Linked DNA regions of Arabidopsis thaliana. The protein of the gene in region 2 interacts with the protein of the main gene of each other region in a pairwise test. Each region holds a gene or a part of one and is shown on either strand. Other genes may lie near its edges. The genes, in order: AT1G01260, JAZ3, TIFY8 and NAC069.

Region 1 (4,966 bases), on a different chromosome or scaffold from region 2:
AAAATGGGATTTTCTTTTTTTTATAAGGTAACAAAATTAAGGAAAAACTATTGTTACAACTTCAACTTGCAAGTATGTTTCTGAAGCTAGAGTTTACAGTCACGTGTGAAAATCAAACCAATTTGGATCATTATTGAAGATAAATGAATACTTGATATATTGTTAGTACAAATTTAAACAAAGCGATAGGTTTAGTGGCATTCAGAATAAGTTCACCAAGAACCGGCACTACTTTATCCGGGATTAAATCAACTCTTACAATAGAGTTAACTGGACTAATAGGCCGATTTGTTGTGGTAAAACAAAACCAATGAAATATATGATAAGATTGAGATTTAAGAATTCAAGACTGAGTCCGTTGAACAGCCCATTCTAATTCTGATTGCTAGATAAGGGATAGATGGGGGGCATTATTAAGGTTTGGGAAAAAGGCTGATATCACGTTTGACCTAGCACATATGTGGCCCAACATTACAAGAATTCCATAGAAAACCAGTATTGTAATATCGGCCCATATTATATTCTTGACGACTTGGAGATATTGTAAGTCGACGTCGTTGTTTGACTTAGATGGGAATGGGACCCAAACGTCTCGAATAAAGGATAGTTTAAACACGTGAATCACGCGGTCCCCACTTTTTGCTGTGTGTTTCTCACCGCCATACATATATTATACCCACTCGTGACTTCATTTTCCATAATTACTATATATACTAATTTTTTGTTTTAACTTTATCGTTTGTTAAAGATTTTTCCAAAATAATATAGTCATTGTATATTCATTTTCGCAGAGCCGTAGTTTATATTTTGATGATAATTTTATGACTTAAAGAGTGAAAGCTATAAATATATTACAATTCAATTGTGGTTGCGAGAGAATAAACAAAAAGAGAAAGAGAAAAAAAAAACGTTACAGAAGAGAAAGTGCAGAGCTGTGCAGGCGCATTTGAAAATGAAATTAAAAAGAAAAAGAGATCCAAAGAAAATTAAATGCATCTCACGTTCTTCTCATTCTGGTCATCTCTCCTAAATCCACGTGAACTTCACGTGCTTTTCACGCCCTCCTCTCTATCGACTTGGCGTTTCCTTTCTTCTAAAGGAGTTGAATTGTTTTGTCAACATTTATCAAGTTATTTAGTAATTTGTTTTTTTGTTTTGTTTTTAAAAAAATTATTTACTCCCGTTGTAGAACCACCATCAATAATATTACCAAAAATAATAATCAAGGATCTAAACTAAAATAAGCCTTTTATTTTGTATAATTCTGAAAGCATTTGAAACTTAAGGAACAACTCTTTAGTCTTTGCAACAAAACAAAACACAACAAAAACCGAATATTTAAGCCTAACTTGAATGTGAATTGATTTGGTCAAAATTCCCGGTGCTTGACCACCGGTCTTAGTTGGCATACTTTGCAATTATGTAAACAAAAATTTTAAAAATTGAAAGCAAACTTCTAAATTTGGGTTTGGTTTCCCCTTTAGTTATTTCCATGAACATGAGAATCTAATCTCGAGTTGTCAGATAGTATTTGTTTAGATCTACACCAGTTGAGATAGATCTGTTGCAAATTTTTAATTAATCAAAACCCATAATTGAAAATTATGTCAATCAATTATTGACAAAAACCATGACATAATCTAAGGGGTTTTCAATCGTCGTGTATCAAAGACTCGAGACAAAGACTAAATCGAACCAGACCCGGTTTAAGTTTCTAAACTCAATTGTGTAGTTAAGTAGCTAACCATGGTTCAGATGAAAGTCTTTTTGTTTTGTTTTTTGTTTTGTTTGTTGGGGTTTGGTCTTTTAATAAAAAAGAGCACGAAGAACATGCGTCGGACTCTCTCTCTTCCTTGAATTCATTCAATTGGCCACGGCGACAAAACAGGGAGCCGATACAGCGAAACTGATACATCTTTTTTTATTTTCTGGATTCTTAGGGTTCTTTTTCGGGGAATTTAGGTAATTTGTTTGTCCATTTTGGTGGGGTTTGGGAGATTTAAAATTTGTGTTTTTTTTTGGGTCGGATTCTCAAAAATCTGATTTTGAGGAGAAAATCTCGGTGGAAGAGACTTGATTCAAATCTTCTTTACTGGTAAAAATATATTCTTCTCAATTCCTCATTTTCTGTTGGTGGAGTTTGATTTTTGTCATTTAATTGTTGTTAAAGAAAATAGGGGCAAGATCTGAGATCTCTGGGTGTTCCATGCAAAACTGTTATACTCCGCCGTATATTTGCATCTGGGTCACACTTCTAAACCCTATCATTTGACTTAAGAATCGATTTCTGAAGATCTGGGTTTCTTAAAAGTCTTTCCTTTTTGTTGGGATCCAAACAACAAAAGAAAAGAAAGCAGAGATGAATATTGGTCGCCTAGTGTGGAACGAGGACGATAAAGCGATTGTTGCGTCATTACTGGGCAAACGAGCTCTCGATTACTTGCTTTCCAACTCTGTTTCCAATGCTAATCTCTTGATGACTCTAGGAAGCGACGAGAATCTGCAGAACAAGCTCTCGGATCTCGTCGAGAGACCCAACGCTTCTAATTTCTCTTGGAACTACGCCATTTTCTGGCAGATTTCCAGGTCAAAGGCCGGAGATTTGGTTCTCTGTTGGGGCGATGGATATTGCAGAGAGCCTAAAGAAGGAGAGAAATCAGAGATCGTTAGGATTCTAAGTATGGGAAGAGAAGAAGAAACGCATCAGACTATGAGAAAGAGAGTATTGCAAAAGCTTCATGATTTGTTTGGTGGCTCAGAAGAAGAGAACTGTGCTTTAGGACTAGATAGAGTTACTGACACTGAGATGTTTCTTCTTTCTTCTATGTATTTCTCATTCCCTCGAGGTGAAGGTGGTCCAGGCAAGTGTTTTGCCTCTGCTAAACCTGTTTGGTTATCCGATGTCGTCAATTCGGGTTCTGATTATTGCGTTAGATCGTTTCTTGCTAAATCTGCTGGCATTCAGACTGTTGTTTTGGTTCCTACTGATCTTGGTGTTGTTGAGTTAGGCTCAACTTCATGTTTGCCTGAAAGTGAAGACTCAATCTTGTCTATAAGATCATTGTTTACCAGTAGTTTGCCTCCGGTTAGAGCTGTTGCTTTACCTGTTACTGTAGCTGAAAAGATTGATGATAACAGAACGAAGATATTCGGCAAGGATTTGCACAATTCAGGGTTTCTTCAACATCATCAGCATCACCAACAACAACAACAACAACCACCGCAACAGCAACAGCATAGACAGTTTAGAGAGAAACTCACGGTTAGAAAAATGGATGATAGAGCTCCCAAGAGATTAGATGCTTATCCGAATAATGGGAACAGGTTTATGTTTTCGAACCCAGGCACCAACAACAACACTCTTCTGAGTCCTACTTGGGTTCAACCTGAGAACTACACGAGGCCAATCAACGTGAAGGAAGTTCCAAGCACGGATGAGTTCAAGTTTTTACCTTTGCAGCAATCATCGCAGAGGCTGCTTCCTCCTGCTCAAATGCAGATAGATTTCTCTGCTGCGAGTTCAAGGGCTTCAGAGAATAATTCAGATGGAGAAGGAGGAGGGGAATGGGCAGATGCAGTGGGTGCTGATGAATCTGGTAACAACAGACCAAGAAAACGCGGAAGGAGACCTGCCAACGGAAGAGCGGAAGCTTTGAACCATGTAGAAGCAGAGAGGCAGAGGCGTGAGAAGCTTAACCAGAGGTTTTACGCTCTGAGATCCGTTGTTCCCAACATATCCAAGATGGACAAAGCGTCCTTGTTGGGAGACGCGGTTTCTTATATAAACGAGCTTCACGCGAAGCTAAAGGTCATGGAAGCAGAGAGAGAGAGGTTAGGGTATAGCTCAAATCCACCTATCAGCTTGGATTCAGATATAAATGTTCAAACCTCAGGTGAAGATGTCACAGTGAGGATAAACTGTCCGTTGGAGTCTCATCCGGCTTCCAGAATCTTCCATGCGTTTGAAGAGAGTAAAGTAGAAGTGATAAACTCGAACCTGGAAGTTTCTCAGGACACAGTGTTGCATACGTTTGTAGTCAAATCTGAAGAATTAACGAAAGAGAAGCTGATATCGGCCTTGTCTAGAGAGCAAACAAATTCAGTTCAGTCAAGAACATCATCAGGTAGATAGCCTTTTGAGAGACAGAAGAAGGTGGAAGTAAGTTTGTAATCAAGAACCGGTTTTGAATGGTTCTTTTTTTCTTCTAGGTATCTTTTGTTTTTACCTTTTTTTGGTTATATACCTGTAAGAATCCTCCAAACTAGGATTTTAGAAGTTTTATTGACAAAAGTAGACATTATCATTTACTCGTTTTACAGTGGACAAAGCTGGGAATTAAGTAATTAACGATAATGTTGTATCTGTTAAAGTCGTAGACTAGCTCATGAATCAGTCTTTATTCATTCTGATATGTCCTATGTGTTGGATTTGGTGAAGTGTTTAATCGACAAGTCAGATAAGTGTTATGGATTGGTCACGGAATTGCTCAAGAACAACAAAACACAGCTGATTCATTGCTTGTGAACAAGAGGAAACACTATGATGTTCGTGCACACCATTTTTAGTGTTCAAACTAACATAAACCGTTATCGCCTGGGGAAAACAAAAGTTTTAAGAAGAGAAACAGGTGGAAAATGTAACAAAAATAAAAATAGGTTCCACCGAGACTTGAACTCGGGTTACTAGATTCAGAGTCTAGTGTCCTAACCGCTAGACCATGGAACCGCTTGATGTTTAGATTGCAGTAAATACGTTTTTAATATGTTTCTCTATTGTGAGTCAAAGGGTAATGCGATGTTTCTTTCTAGATTTCCTAAGCTAACTCAGTCCTAATAAACCGATTAAAAAGAACATGAACAAAGCATGCAGATCATAAAAGTGTCACACAAAGAGAGAGATACATGTTAGATTGTTTTTTTTTCTTCTCTTAAATGATAATTAATCGTTCTAACAAAAACTTAGCTA
Region 2 (5,558 bases):
AGGATCCACTAAAGCACCAAACTCAAAAAAAAGAGAGCCAAATATTGCAACTACTCAAGTCAGTCTAAATATAGTTAAATGCTGCGCTATATATCATGCATATACATATGTCATTTGATTTTCTCTTTGCCATTATTTACTCTCATTCGATTTTAATACAAAATTATTTAAGTTGTTGTTGTAAACAGACGTTGCTGTTGCTGTTGAGTTTGATTTAGAATAGTTAAGTTTGGTTTTGGTTGGAGAAAAGTTTTCGTTGTTAAGCCAACTCGTGATCATTTAATCTGTTCTTTTTTTGGTAGGGGGTGATCATTGAATCTTTTGTTTTGAGTTTTGTATGTCTATATAGAGTCTAATACCATTAAAACAAAAAAAATGTCGTGGTAACCAGAATTAAATGATGTAAAAACAGAAAACAAGAATTAAATGTCGGATGTAAAAACAGAATTAAATTTCGGATGTTTTATGTGGATCATAGCGTGAGAGATGCGTTTATGGCATCTTTTGATATAATCTTCGCTTTGTAGGTCCACTTTTGATCTGATCTGATCTATTATCTATATGGAATGTTGTGTATATAATAAACTGCAGTGTAGTATTTTCTTAATAATGTGATATTAATATCTAAATTCTAGGCTGGAGAAAATGACGTGTGCTGCATATCCCCCAGACTCGAAATAACGATGTTATCGTGGGAGATGATCGTCAATTTTTTTTTTGTTTAGAGATCGTCAAGTTGTTGTGATCATTGACTCCTTTCCATTTTTTCTATAGATTTGAATTTTAAATATTCATTTTCATAAAAAAATGAAAACTTTATTATTATATTTGTGAGATAATTAGATATGTTTTAAAACATTAGTAAATTTAGTATAGTATTAGTTTTTACTAAATTAAGAAGAAAGTGACGCACGAAATGGCGTAATTTCCTCCCCCGGACCACATGCATCTTATAAATACACAAAAACGATGTCAACGAGTGATTTTAGTAATATGTACATTAAAGTAATATTTTCTTTTTGGTACCAATAATTACCTTAATTAATACAAGTATAGTTTAAGCAACAAGCAACATTCTTTAATAATTCGCGAAAAATATTAATAAAAGTACAATGACAGAAAAAATAATTAAAAATTGGATTAAAAAAAATAATATTAGAGTGATGACATAATCACATGAGGATTTAGATTTAGCTTAATAATGTTTAGTTGTGGAACTAAATTTCCGCAACAATTATTTTGTTGTATTTAAATCATTTTATGAAAGTCTAATCTTTACAATTACTTTATAGTACCATCCGATTAATCAAAGATTAAAAATATAGTACTAAAATACAAATTAATATATTTTGCCAAAAAAATGCAACGTGCAAATGTTTATCTTGGTCAAGAGAACGTGCACGAAAGTAGTGTAACTAATTTTACTATTTTAGATTGAGCGGTGAGACAAAAAGGGGGTTAGACTCACGCGCTACACTTAGCGCGTCAGCCGACAAAAAAAAGTGTTGTCATTGAATAAAAAAATAAATTAAAACTGCCGCTTCGCATCTCGTGAATCATTCACGTTAAAATAGCGCACGTGCCTCGCCACGCGTCTCACCACAAAAAGAAACGCCACACACTGCACGACGATGCACGTGCCTTTTTAACCGACTATATCCGGTGACGTAACCGGGACAACCTGTAGCTGGTTTTTGCGCCAATAGGATATGAGAAAAAAGAATCTTTTTTTTCTTGTTATAGTTATAAATTAATGGTACGATTCACATGTCGCATGCGATTTGTTAATAAAACTAGAAATTGCGGTGAATTAACTTCATTCCACGTTTTTTCATTTTCTCCCTCAAAAGTCTCTGTTTTTTTTCCTTTTTCCGGCGAAGCTCTATTTAGCTTGATTCCGGCGTTTAACACGCGTTTTAATCGAAACAGACATTTGAGATCGAATTAATTTTGTAGCGGGCTGTGTCTTTATTATAGATGGAGAGAGATTTTCTCGGGTTGGGTTCGAAAAATTCTCCGATCACTGTCAAGGAGGAAACCAGCGAAAGCTCTAGAGATTCAGGTTATTTATTACTCTTCTCAATTTTTCTGATTCTGATTGTTTTTAAATCGTAGATTTGTTTGATTGATTAGGAGTTATTAGGACTACTTGTAGTATGGAATTTGTTTTTGGATAGCTGATTTTATGGCTTGCTCGGGAACTGGAATTGTCAGTTTGTTGCTTGGAGCAGAACATTGTCCTTTGCTTTTCTCGGGAGATGTAGAATTTGGATTTGGAAAAACTAGTGTTCTTTTCCAAAGCCTTGTCTTAAACATGCTTTCGGTCGGAGAAATTAACGAGAACTAATCTCAAGCTTCTAACATAATTAAACTCGGTAAACTTTTTTTTACTAGAGTAAATTTTTTTGTTTTGTTTGAAGAGTCTTATAATTGAGAAATACTTTATTAGTTTATACTAAAAAAAAAACGAATACGTAAAATGTTGGAAAAGAGGGGATGTATAGAGACTGATACAAAAATGATAAAATAGAGACGGTTGGTAGTAGGTAGAAAGATTAAATATACTCAAAAGAGTGAGTTGGATTAGTTTATAAGATGATTAACTTCTTGATTGTGTGAGTTGGATTAGTTTATGAGATTATTAAAATATTGATTGTGTATTTGTGTTGTGTGTTGATTAAGCGGAACTTGCGTTAGAATATTGTTCAAGGTACAATGTGGAAATAATAGTTTTCTCACCACGAGGAATATAATTATTTCAACTTTGTTTTCTTATCAGCCAAAACGTGCCACACCATAAAAGTAGTGCATCAACATGTGGTGTGGTGTGGTGGGGTTAAAGTTTGAATCTCTCTTTAATTTAAACTATTAAAACAAACTTAAATTATTGGAGTTTCGTACAATGACTTTCAATCAAATGTTTTAGAATTAGACACGGTTTTCGAAAGTGGTTTTCCCTCGTTGAATTTGTCAACAGTATCAGATTCTACATTGTTGGTTACTAATCTTTTCCTTGAAGTAGGTGTTGAATTAATCCTCTGTTGTTTATGTAAGGAGATCTCGAGACATTTATGGTTAACAGTTAACACTACATGTTTGACTTTAAACTGATTATCTTTTATTCTTTTTCTTTTGTAGCTCCCAACAGAGGAATGAACTGGTCTTTCTCAAACAAAGTATCAGCTTCTTCTTCTCAGTTTCTATCCTTCAGGCCAACTCAAGAAGATAGACATAGAAAGTCTGGAAATTATCATCTTCCTCACTCTGGTTCCTTCATGCCATCATCAGTAGCTGATGTTTATGATTCAACCCGCAAAGCTCCTTACAGTTCTGTACAGGTATTTGTCATCAAAACCTATGTTAACCAAGACCCTTGTGTTTTTTTTATCCTTCGCAAGATAGCTTTAAAAGTGAGCCCTGTTTTATGAGCATATAGTAATTGGTTTTGAGTCTAGTTTAGCACAAGTTCATGGCAATTAGTTTGTGGATCTAATCTTGGTTTAATACTGATTCATTTTAAGTGTAAGCTAAGCTTCTCATTTTTGATAAGTTAGTTCATACAATGCCTCACACCTACTTTATGGCTTGTTACTCTCAGGGAGTGAGGATGTTCCCTAATTCCAATCAACACGAAGAAACTAACGCAGTTTCCATGTCGATGCCGGGTTTCCAGTCTCATCATTATGCACCAGGAGGAAGAAGCTTCATGAACAATAACAATAACTCACAACCTTTGGTAGGAGTTCCTATCATGGCACCTCCAATTTCAATCCTTCCTCCTCCAGGTTCCATTGTAGGGACTACTGATATTAGGTACCCACTAGTCATCATATCATACAGAAACTCTTTCTACATTTTCATAGTTGACTAAAGACTTATTTTTGTCAGATCTTCTTCCAAGCCAATAGGTTCACCTGCGCAGTTGACGATCTTTTATGCCGGTTCAGTTTGTGTTTACGATGACATATCTCCTGAAAAGGTATCTCAATCATTTTCTTCCATATATGCATCTCTTTTACTCGTAAGGTATGGTACTCATTTGCTTTCTTTCATTTCTCAGGCAAAGGCGATAATGTTGCTAGCTGGGAACGGTTCCTCTATGCCTCAAGTCTTTTCGCCGCCTCAAACTCATCAACAAGTGGTCCATCATACTCGTGCCTCTGTCGATTCTTCAGCTATGCCTCCTAGCTTCATGCCTACAATATCTTATCTTAGCCCTGAAGCTGGAAGTAGCACAAACGGACTCGGAGCCACAAAAGCGACAAGAGGCTTGACGTCAACATATCACAACAACCAAGCTAATGGATCCAATATTAACTGCCCAGTACCAGTTTCTTGTTCTACCAATGTAATGGCTCCAACAGGTAAAAAACAAAGTCAGAGACCTGATACTACATTCGCCATCTAACTTACTAGTATTTTCATGGATGTAACTTCATTCTCGTTCTGTTTCTTATGCAGTGGCATTACCTCTGGCTCGCAAAGCATCCCTGGCTAGGTTTTTAGAGAAACGCAAAGAAAGGTACGCAACACTTCTTTAGAATACACCATTCAATAGTTTCTTGGGCTAACTCTCTTTCTCGCTGTGGGTTTCTCAGGGTCACGAGCGTATCCCCATATTGCTTAGACAAGAAGTCATCGACAGATTGTCGCAGATCAATGTCTGAATGCATTAGTTCTTCTCTCAGCTCTGCAACCTAATTTCATCTACAGTAAGAAGGTTGCTTTAGACCACTCCACATCCATATTTGCATTTCAATGGCGGTCTTTTCAATGTCTCAGTTAATTTTTCCTCACTCGCCACACTGAGTTTCTCCTTAGCTTTATATATACGATAGTGTATACTTTGTTTACATGTTTTTTGGTGGAATGGAACTTATGAGAGCATATCAGATATGTACTTGGGAAAATTAGTAGAAACTGTTTGTTTCTTTTTTTTTAACTCTGTTCTTTTGTATATATCACTGAAGCTCGCATATGTATAATTCATGTAATGGAATTGCATCGCTTCTGTTTCCCTAAGTTATTTCTCTAATCAATTTTCTATTCAAATATGGGGATTTTTTTAATAGGATTTGCTAATTTGTACTCTGGTTAACAATAAGCTTGATACATTACCAGTTACCAACTCGAATTCACAAAAGAAGTCATCATTATATATGGAGAAAATGGAACATCTTTTAGAATTTGCTTTAATTCGTTTTGGCTAATTATTTTTCGGTCTTCGTTTTGGCTGTGAGTTTCTTTGTAACATCCTAATTTCAATATGTGGGCCATTTTGTGTTGTAGCCCATCAAGGCCCAATGTCTTATTGCACAACGAAAAGGGATGTTGCAAAAGATGATAAACCGGATATGAATTCAGTCGCGGTTAAGTTAACGCGAAGACAAAACCGGTTGGACATGTTCGGTTTTCGGCGATGATTATTTCAACGTTTTTCAGTCTAATCAAAACCAATACGAGCAGACACAGCTCCGTACGATCACAAGGATTCACTGATTTCTAAGCTTTTCATAGAAAGAAGAAGAAAAAGGCGGAATTCGATGGTGGATGCGATT
Region 3 (5,063 bases), on a different chromosome or scaffold from region 2:
TAACCCATCTTACCTATCTATAGCTGTATGATTTGTCATAACAAAATGTTTAAAGTGCAGAAGATTGGAAAAATACAACTTGGGCTTCAAGAAGAGCAGAGGCTCCGTGATGCTTCAAAAGAAAAGTATATAGCTGCAGCTGCAGAGCAAAGAAAATGCTACACTGTACTAAGAGCATACCAGGTTAGCACAAGATAGGAAATAAGTGTTTATACTGAAAAGCCCGAGAGTCATCTACTTACGTAGTGCTAAATTTCTCAATGGCAGGAGGAATGTACTAAGAATGAGAGGCTGAGAAGTCATATATCTGCCATGAACGAACACCTCTGACTCGAAGAAGGGTTTGAATAAGGTGATATGAAGTGACTCTCCTTTCGAGTTACAGCTAACCAGAGTAGAGCCAGAGTTGATTTAGATATGATTCTCTTGTGATGTGATGTATCCATATGCTCAGCCTTACATGGAAATATACGAAAATCGATAGGCCTAGAAATAGTAGGTTTGGTTGACCAATATGTTTATATATGAGCTATGAGAAAATATTATTCTCTAAATCATTGAGGAGATGAGTTTGAATACAAACCTAGAAAGGTACAGAGCATTGTACAAAGCTATCAAGTCAACAAATAACAACTTAGAAGAAGTTGACCAAAAACAAAAAAAAAACAAAAAAAACAACAACTTAGAAGAACAGCCACACTCATCGTCTCTCATATTCAGACTTTAATCATGTGGCTTCTTTTTCAGGATCTGATCTGTGAACCGGATCTCTGATATCTCGTCCCCTTGAGATGATGCTTCCTTGATGCTCTCTACCTGCAAATCATACATGTACATGGTTTTATGGCTCCTCAAACAGATTCAAGTTGATAAAACCCAGAACAGTTGATAACTCTTTACTGTTGTATCCTCATTTTATTATGTCACAATGCAAAATAAGACCTGATTACTCTACTCCACTCAGTATTTGTAAGAAGCTAACCAAAATTTCTGCTGAAATCTGGTTTTCTTTAAAAAGAAGTCACCTGGTTGTGTAAAGATCCGGTGACAGGCACTGGAGGTAGGTTGATGACTCGGCCTTGCACGAAATTCCGGGGGCATTTGTGGTGTTTCCTTAGAGCTGCCTCCTTCATACATTTGGCCTAGCTTGTATGGACCGTCACTTGTGTTGTTCTTCGACTTCGGTTTATGAGACAAACCCGTAGACCATGAGCCTCCGCTTGATCCTGCCAAGGCCATTATCACATCCGCCTGCAAAAAAATAACATTCATCAGATGAACTTCTCAATTCTCTACCTTTTTAGATATCAAAATGTAGTCAAATAACTTGAATATCAAGTGTATAAGTGTTAGGGAGAATCACCTTGTTTGGGTGAACGTCATCAAAGACATGAGCTTGACCGCCATAGAAGATGGTCATTTGCTTAGTACTCGACGCCAAGTCTTTCCGATTTCCGGTACTGCAAATACAAAGTGTATTGAAATGACTCGAAGAGTATCGAAAGACCAGAGACACAAAACACTAGAAGCTAACTGACTTTGAAGGGGCAAAACTTTCGAGCTTGCTTGAGTTTGGCATTGTAAAAGAACTCAAGATACCGGGACCTTTCATCCCTGTTCGTGAACCTTCATCAGCAGCTGTCTGAGCAATAACTGATGGGCCTACGTTCTCATCTTTGAACCTGCTAGTAGACAGCTGATGAAGCAAATGACTGATCTGTCCTCCTCCGCGTGGAGGCTGGTTTGCCAAAGGATTCACATTCATGGAGAAGCTTCCAGGTCCGTTTCTAAGCAACTAGGTTATGACAATGACATATTACAGAAACTGAGTTCTACGTAGCTGTGACCATGGTGAAGTTGTGTAGGTTCTGTTTTTTTTTTAGTTACCTTGGACCAATGCAGAGTCTCTGGGTGCTCCTGAGTCGTGAAGTGAGAATCAGAGTTACTTCTCTTATTTCCTGAAAACCGATTGCTCATGATTGAGCCAGAAACATCACTTCTTGGTCCAAACAATTGTATCCCATCAAGATGATTCCCACCGCCGCTGTGTCTTTCGACTAAACAATGATAAAATATGGATAAGTAACTTAAAGATTGTTGTGGGAGGGAACTCAAGGAGATAGAGAGAGAAAACGAGAGGCAATAAAGAAGGGCCAATTCATATAAAAAAGGATCACAACCTCAAATGGCTATGACCCACCAAACTCATCAGTCAAATTCACTCTCAATGTCCCAACTAATCCACCAGAGGGCATTATGGTTGGGCAGAGAGAGAGAGAGAGAGAGAGAGAGAGGGAGAGTCCTTAACACTACAAGAGGTCAAGCAACCACATGCCCACACACAATCCATGTTCATGTTTCTTAAATTGTCGAACTAAAAAAGCAATGAGGCAAGAAATGAAACAAGACAATGTACATTCACATTTTGTTCAACCTTATGAACCCAAAGATGTTCCATTTTCAACTTAAGAGATCTAATCATAAATGAATTGACTAAAAAATTTGAAACTAACTCACATGATCTCTTACATTTTCAAATCATGGTGAATCAAAGCTCGATCGTTAATCCAGACTAGGGGGAAAAGAAAGAATCCAACTTTAAATCGAATCTATGTAACAAAAGTTGAACTTTCTATAGATAGAAACCCTAAATGTACAGAGGAATCAGCTCAAAACCTCATCAGCGTAAGCACACTACGTCAACAACAACAAAAACATCAGGAGAGAGAGATAGAGAGACAGAGCAGAACCGAGATCGGAGGTTGAGGAGAGACCGCCGAGTCCACCGGCGGAGGAAGCAGAAGCCGTGGAAGGAGTCATCGCCGCTTTAGCCGCCTTATTATCCGGTGGTAGCCTATGGTCAGCCATGGAAGTGGATGCTAAAGTAGGATTCTTGGAGCCTAAAAAGTCATGGAACAAGAGCTTATCTTGTTCTGTCTGTCGGAGACGAGAATCAATATCAGTGGGTCGCTGGCCATTGTTGTGGTTCACCATCATGAAACCAGTGTGTCAGTGTGGCCACTTCGCCACCACATCCTCCGTTACAGTCTTTCTCTCTGTCTCTGGCAGAGTATTATTTCATGGACACACTCAACGAGAGAGAGAGAGAGAGATATTATCAGTTTTTTGTTTTTTGTTTTTCTGGGTAAGTGTATAATAAAGCTTGTCTTTTTCTTCTTCAAGCTACTTTATTGGGTTTCTCTTACATGATTTTAATTCCCTTTAATATTATAATAATCACATCTTTCAAATAATATATGATTAAAAGTTCAGCCCAAAAGAAAAAAGTACGATTGTAAAATCATGGCATTATAGACTCTTTTTAAATTAAGGTTATCATAGATTCATAATGTTATTGATTTGAGAAAGTGAGTTTGTGTATCTAATCTAACCAACACACTATAATTTGGTGTAGTAGTACAATGTTAACTACTTTACTCATATGTGGTTGTTAGATCGATTAGTTAAATAATTTTTATACACATAATTTTATCATTACGCGCCAAATAATCTGTTTTAAAATTAAAATGCAAAATGTATGCATATAACTTTACCTAAATATATGGTTTTGAGATGAGAGTTGTTGAATTTTGAATGATTATAAGTGTTTGATTTCTTACTCTAATATGAGTAAGAGAGAGAACTCATGAACCAACCACTCATGACGAATTTCTATACTCTTAAATGAAATCGATTTTACAACTACTCATGACGATTTTTCCCACTTTAATCTAGTTTAATTATGGAGTATTTAAGATGTTTATTGAAACCACCAAATTAGTATTAGCTGATTTTTTAATCAACTAGTCTCCGGACTGTGATTAATTGGGTTGATAGAAGTATAATGGTCATTTATATGGGAATTGGGAACACGTGTTGTTTTTCTTGTTCTTACTACACAAACCTTAACTAGATGTTTGTGATATGGAGGCTCAAGTATCTGGGTTAACAATAGAGCTAGGGGTAAACTTTCCAGTAGGCTTATGTTCTTCCCATATGAACATAATTCCTTCAACGACAAGACATAGCACGTGTTCTTCAAACAACAGTAGCAGGTCAACTTTAGCAACATGTTTGCTCCAAGTAGCTACCTGATATATATCCACAAGAATTCCAACTATAAAGAAAGTACTCAATAGATATTAAAAATCGAGGCTCTTCAGGAGTACCATTCATGAATAACATAACAGGGTGAGTTTTTCCAAACGATTCTTGAGAGCATCAGCGGTAGATACAGGCTGAGCTCGGTCTTGTCCAGAAGCTTTCGCATTCTTCTTAACAGTTTCAAGAATCGTTGGCCCTGCAGCCAACCCTAAGCTTGCAGGAGTAATAGAACCAGCAACTTTGCCAACTTTATTAGCTAAACTTGATGGATCTGCCCCTTCAAGTGTATCCACAGTTTTGCCATCCTTCAATAAGAAAAGGATTCAGTGCAGTGACAAAGATTCAAGCTTTGTCAATAAGCCAAAAAATTGCAACCAAACAAAGAATCAATATGCCTAAAGTTTACCTTGAAGAAGACGAAATACGGCACAAGAGCAACAGAATAAGCCTCAGATATCTCAGGATGTTCCTCAGCTTCTACCTAAGAAGATAAATAAAACCAATCAAAGTCAAAAACCAATTGAAAGAGATAAAATTCGAACAGAGACGACGAACCCTAAAGAAGTGAGCACGAGGGAAATCAGTAGCGAGATGAGAGAAAACTTGATCCATCTGCTTCGAAGCGTCACACCAAGAAGCCCAGAAGTGAAGCACGAGTGGTGCTCCGCTGTGGCGCAAGTTATCAAGCTCCTCCTTTGAAACGATATCCTTCACAGTACCACTCATCTTCGAAGAGGAAGGAGATGTCGCGTCTCTCTCGGAAGGATCTCCAACACTTTTTCTTTTCTTTTTGTGATTACCAATCTATTATCGAGCAGAATTCTTCTGTTGCTGGAGAAGGAAAAGAGATTTATGTAACTAAGAAAAAAAAATGGTCGGAGAGGGAGATTTGATTTTGTGTCTGTATCGTACGTGTCACAAACTCTCAAAAGTTTGATAACTGTCAAATATACCACATG
Region 4 (4,956 bases), on a different chromosome or scaffold from region 2:
GGAACAAAATTTATTTTTATTGTGAATGAGAATGAAGACGTGGCAAATTATTGACGGTTCATTGTCGGAGCTTCGAACGAAAGTATGAACCTTTCTCTTTTCCTTGTTTTTTTTGTGTATTTTGAGTCGAAGGATCTTTCGGAAATTATAGCCGCCACCATCGACGACGACGACATGGCGTTATTACTTTCTCTACTTCAATATAGTACTACTACTAATTTTGTAAAATATATGTCTATGGATTTGGCTTGCAAGATAAGGGATTAAAGTTTACAAAAAACAAGAAAAAGGTTCATAGAATCATATTACATAGTTGTAAGTAATATGATTGATTGATTGATTGATCATCGAAGTAATATTTGATTGATTGATCATCGAAGTATCAATCACATTAGACCAGTCCCTTGTCCGGTATGTAATCATTCTCTTAATTATCAACAAACCAAATCTTTGAGAAACCTTTCAAACCATTCACTGGTCTCTGTCGAATGTTTTCTTTATCAGCAGTCTAATGCTCCACCACGGCACTGAACTATGGACCCGCTCTAAATGTTATAAAATTTTCAAACCCTAAATTTTATTTAACTTTAGGTACAAGACATACCTCTTGGTCATACATACACACACATATATACATCAAAATTTCGGAAGAAAATAGAAATAAATAAAAGCAAAGTAAAAACGAGTGCTTTGATCAATCTGCTAGCTTTTGTCTATCTCTCGCGATCAAACTTCATCGCCGGGTTCAAGTTTTGTAACACCGATATGATGTTGCTAATGAGAGCCAGCAAGAGAATGAAGCCTATGATCATTCTCATGAGATAGATATACCGTGGATTGTTGCGGTTTCTCTCCATTGCTTCCTCTGTAATAAACCAGCTCTTCTTCTCTGTCTTCACCATAGATGACTCCTTGTCTATGGATGTATCACTATCAACCGCTCTTGATGTATCTTGTTTCACCTGTGAAGGAAAGTTACATAATCATTATCTTTATATATCCAACATATGTTGAAATCATATAGAATCAACATAAGAGCAACGCAAAACCTCTTGTTTTGGTCGTATGATGCTTCGTGTGAGTTGAGATTGCCGGGTGCTACTACTGATGGAAGGTTCTCCATAGGTTTGTAGATCATTGCAAGACGATAGAATCTCATCTCCACCAGTCTGGAGAAATTGTCTATTCGAACTACCAACACTATCATCACCTGGACTTGATGTTCCTTGGTAACTCTGACATAATATAATCAAAATGTGAGAATGGAGATTACAGCACAGAAGTAACGATAAAGAAAACGGGTGATTTGCTTTACCGTTGCAGATATCGATTCAGCATCACTATTACTATCACTGCTATAATCAACAATAATCCCTGACAAAGCCTTCTTTGGCCTGTGATCGTTGCGGTTCTCGGTCATAGATAAGGTTGGTCTGGATATGAAATCTTCATTGGCAAACAAATATTCAACCTGCTCTCGGTTAACATGCCTCAATCCACCGAGAAACTCATCATCATTCGGGGTTAAGTGAGGAGCTTGTGGATGCACAGTAGGATTGTTATTGTCACTGAATAACATGTCTGGATCCAGTACATCCCACAAAGAGAAATCTTCTTGTTCATTCTTTGGAGTCCCCAAATCATCCACAGACATACCAAAGAAATTTTCTTGACCTGGCTTCTCAAACTGAAAATGTAAAAGAGAGTTTTGAGTAAACGAATCAAGTACATGAGATTATCAAATAAAGAAACTGGAGTCACCTCAAGCGCTGTGGGACTCGTAGCTCTGACAGTATTCGAATCAGAGACCAAAGATTGACTCGGCTCACTCGAGTTGTTACCACCAGATGGGACGTCTCCATCTTCACCCTTATACATCACTTGGCAGATAACATAGTTCCTCTGAACAAATTCCAAAAGTACACACACACATAAGTTCTTTGCCAACAAAACAAAAAATCAAACACACATAACTCAAACAATCACAAGCTTTGGCAGAAGTAAGAACACTAGGTTACAACTTCTATACATAGCGCTTAAAACTCTGTGACAACACAGAACGTACTAATGATAGCAACCAACACAGGGGAGATTACAGTAATATATTCAACACAGGGAAGCAAATACACTAGCCTTCTAGGCCACAACTTCTATATATAACACTTCAAACTCTGATACACAGAACCTAAACTTGATGTACTAAGCATCATAGGGAAAAGATAAGTCAAACCCAAATCTATTCTTACAAGAACATGACTTTAACCTCAAATTGGGATAAAGATAGCAACCAACACAGGGACAGATGAATCAAACCCAAATCCAATTCAAGAAGATCAACTAACAGAAACATAACGCTAAGTCAAACTAACACAGAAGCTCAAATTCAAGAAACTCTGAGTTTATTATACCTGATCTTGAGGCAAACAAGTGATGTGATACTCATGCATAACCCAAGGAGTCCAAACACCTTTAGGAACTCTACCTTCATAATACACAAGCGTCTTCTTTATCCCAATCTCGCCGCGATTACCTCTCTTATCTTTGATTTTCCTATCAACACCAGTAGCTTTCCAATACCCTGAACTTGTAGTCCTCTTCGTTACCTTCTTCTTCGCAGAAGTATACTCCTTTGGACAGAAGAAGTACCACACAGGATCATCCGATTTTATCTTCGATAAAGCTACAACAACCAAACAAATCCAGAATTAGAAATGACCGATGATGAGACAACGATGATGATTTTGAAGTGAGGAAACTTACAAGGCAAGTAAATTGGGTCGTAACTACAGATGTTGATCTCGCTAATGGCTTCGTCGACGAGCCAAGTCTTACCCAAAATTTTGTTCTTTAGATAATGGTTTATCAATTCCTCTCCCGTTGGATAAAATCTATACCCAACCAGATCTTTCACCATTTTTTTTACACAGAAACAGATCAAATAACAAAACTTTTTGAATCGACACTGAAAATTTTTTAGTGTTTGAGTTTTAAGGGCTTTTTCTCACTTCTCTGTTTCTTTCTTTTTTCCTCTATCTATTATTGTTTTTTCTGAAAGACGAACAGTACTAATACAGTTGGGGTGAAGAAGAACCATAAAAAAAGAAAGAAAGATATTTGTGGCGGAATGCAGTAAAAGTATATTAATGTTTTTCCCCTAAACGTTGACAAATGAGAGGGACAAAAAAATATTTTAATTGTGTATGAAGTAACACGTGGCAGTAAGAAAAATTGTTTGAACTTCGAACCGAAGTTTCAGTTTTTTTTTTTCCTTTCCGAAGGATCTTTCTGGAATATTATAGCCGACATAATTGACAACATAGTAACATACATATACGTAATTACGTTCTATACTACACCTAAATAATCGTAATTAATTTTTAGATTTGTTTTTGTCAATCCTATTACATTATCATTAGAGATGTTCAGGATTTGAATGCTTACGGCGGTAAAAACGGTCTATAATTGATCCGCGACGATTTTCTTTTATTTTTCTTAATCTATAATCTTACATACTCTAATTTATAAATGGTAAATCAAAAACGGTCTAATTCGCAAACGGATTTATCCGTCTCAACCACCGTAACCATTCACATCCTCAAATCTAATCCTATTATTATGGTGATGAACTGATGATCGTAAAACTATTAATTATGCAACATAAAGGTCCACTTAACTACTAAACAAAATCCAATATTACTGCTGTAGATTCAAATGCTCGATGTCGATATATACCAAACCAAACAATCATAAGTTTAACCAACTATATATAGCTTAGTAAAAAACGAGGGCCTATATTGTTGAAACAAGTACTCTTACGATTGTTTCGATGGCTCATGGCTATATTGAAAAAAGAAATGAGAAGTTTTAAAGACATACAATTTTGGACGGAGGTAGGGAAAATTCGAAAATGCAAAATAAACACAAAACTTGGTGAAACTCGGAAGACAGCAGAATTTATAAGAAGAACCTTCTCCTGCTCGTGTCCATTTCAGGCTGTAATGAAATACAAAAAAAAAACACATCAGAAAATAAAATTAAAAATCATCAAAAACTCTAAAGAACAGCAATGAAGCTGCTCGTGTCCATTTCTGGTGATTTTACCTTATGAACCCATTCAAATTCTCCACCTTTGGTGTCAAAAGTTCCATGCTGTAGAGTAACTAGCTTAAGCGTGAATCGAGGACCGCATTCCTAAAAATCCAAAGTTTAATGATACAAACATTGATAATGTTGATTACTTTTTGATTCAACATGGTCAAAACTGACCTGAAGACGAGGTTTTATTGTCTCTTCTTTTCCTTTATCACTCTTGCTTTCCTTTGTCTCAAATATGTAACTGGATAGTGTTGAAATTTGTTCAATAAAAAGTTTTATTGGAGAATGGAGCAAAAGCAACTCGAAGAAGAAAAGGTGAAGTTATGTACCGGTGATGTCTGAAAAATATAAAGTCACGCTGGTTGTGGAATGTTACAACTCTCCTACCACGGAAATTAGGATCCGGAGGGAAGAGTGATTGAAAAAATCTGAAAAAAGGAAAAATCTAACATCAGCAAGAAATTCAAAGAGACCATAAAACCAAGTCAACAACACTATGAAAACTATACCTCCCAACACGATTCCCTAAACGCGTTGTAAAGTTATTCAAAACCAGTTCTGGTTGATGGCTTGTAGGATTTCCGTGATTCTGCAGTTACATTTAACATCCAATTCAGTGATCACTAATCTACACTCGATGTAGAGAAGAGTAATGGTTAGCTTACATACCTTAATATCCTTCCTTAGAACAAGATTTGACAATTTGAAATGAGCAGTAGGACCATTTGGCAAACCGATGATAAGAAGCGCATCTACATATGAAATAGCAAAAGCTTGAAACAAAGCATATACAGTAGAGAGCACAAAACTTGAAACTCAGTGAAAACTAACCAGGTTCTCTACGATTTGTATGAACAACAA

Evidence for each region.
Region 1: the proteins of JAZ3 (region 2) and AT1G01260 interact in binary tests that used the Arabidopsis thaliana proteins (3 or more experiments, as listed by UniProt).
Region 3: the proteins of JAZ3 (region 2) and TIFY8 interact in binary tests that used the Arabidopsis thaliana proteins (3 or more experiments, as listed by UniProt).
Region 4: the proteins of JAZ3 (region 2) and NAC069 interact in binary tests that used the Arabidopsis thaliana proteins (3 or more experiments, as listed by UniProt).

What each region holds. Positions count from the first base shown.
Region 1 is NC_003070.9:107,236-112,201, forward strand, and holds AT1G01260 (basic helix-loop-helix (bHLH) DNA-binding superfamily protein), read left to right. Parts: upstream 1-1,710; 5' UTR 1,711-2,095; exon of another isoform or gene 2,096-2,170; 5' UTR 2,171-2,359; coding exon 2,360-4,132; 3' UTR 4,133-4,464; downstream 4,465-4,966.
Region 2 is NC_003074.8:6,117,991-6,123,548, forward strand, and holds JAZ3 (jasmonate-zim-domain protein 3), read left to right. Parts: upstream 1-1,716; 5' UTR 1,717-1,977; coding exon 1,978-2,062; exon of another isoform or gene 2,063-3,092; coding exon of another isoform or gene 3,093-3,138; coding exon 3,139-3,338; intron 3,339-3,598; coding exon 3,599-3,813; intron 3,814-3,888; coding exon 3,889-3,979; intron 3,980-4,060; coding exon 4,061-4,364; intron 4,365-4,461; coding exon 4,462-4,522; intron 4,523-4,598; coding exon 4,599-4,701; 3' UTR 4,702-5,054; downstream 5,055-5,558. Other genes in the region: TDX (tetraticopeptide domain-containing thioredoxin), read left to right, coding at 5,544-5,558. UniProt on the Arabidopsis thaliana protein: Repressor of jasmonate responses. Jasmonoyl-isoleucine (JA-Ile) specifically promotes COI1-TIFY6B/JAZ3 interaction. Acts as a negative regulator of MYC2 function. Feed-back regulated by MYC2.
Region 3 is NC_003075.7:15,715,706-15,720,768, forward strand, and holds TIFY8 (TIFY domain protein 8), read right to left. Parts: upstream 3,163-5,063; 5' UTR 2,998-3,162; coding exon 2,751-2,997; intron 2,058-2,750; coding exon 1,888-2,057; intron 1,796-1,887; coding exon 1,539-1,795; intron 1,461-1,538; coding exon 1,364-1,460; intron 1,252-1,363; coding exon 1,026-1,251; coding exon of another isoform or gene 961-1,025; intron 955-960; exon of another isoform or gene 817-954; coding exon 728-816; 3' UTR 527-727; downstream 1-526. Other genes in the region: AT4G32560 (paramyosin-like protein), read left to right, coding at 61-183, 268-330; AT4G32580 (Thioredoxin superfamily protein), read right to left, coding at 4,173-4,409, 4,511-4,585, 4,660-4,830. UniProt on the Arabidopsis thaliana protein: Repressor of jasmonate responses.
Region 4 is NC_003075.7:673,312-678,267, forward strand, and holds NAC069 (NAC domain containing protein 69), read right to left. Parts: upstream 3,135-4,956; 5' UTR 2,915-3,134; coding exon 2,761-2,914; exon of another isoform or gene 2,681-2,760; coding exon 2,409-2,680; intron 1,903-2,408; coding exon 1,762-1,902; intron 1,688-1,761; coding exon 1,316-1,687; intron 1,236-1,315; coding exon 1,050-1,235; intron 963-1,049; coding exon 714-962; 3' UTR 551-713; downstream 1-550. Other genes in the region: MEE49 (Ribosomal RNA processing Brix domain protein), read right to left, coding at 3,955-3,993, 4,102-4,191, 4,267-4,336, 4,425-4,523, 4,605-4,684, 4,765-4,847, 4,927-4,956. UniProt on the Arabidopsis thaliana protein: Transcription activator activated by proteolytic cleavage through regulated intramembrane proteolysis (RIP). Involved in salt stress response during seed germination and seedling growth.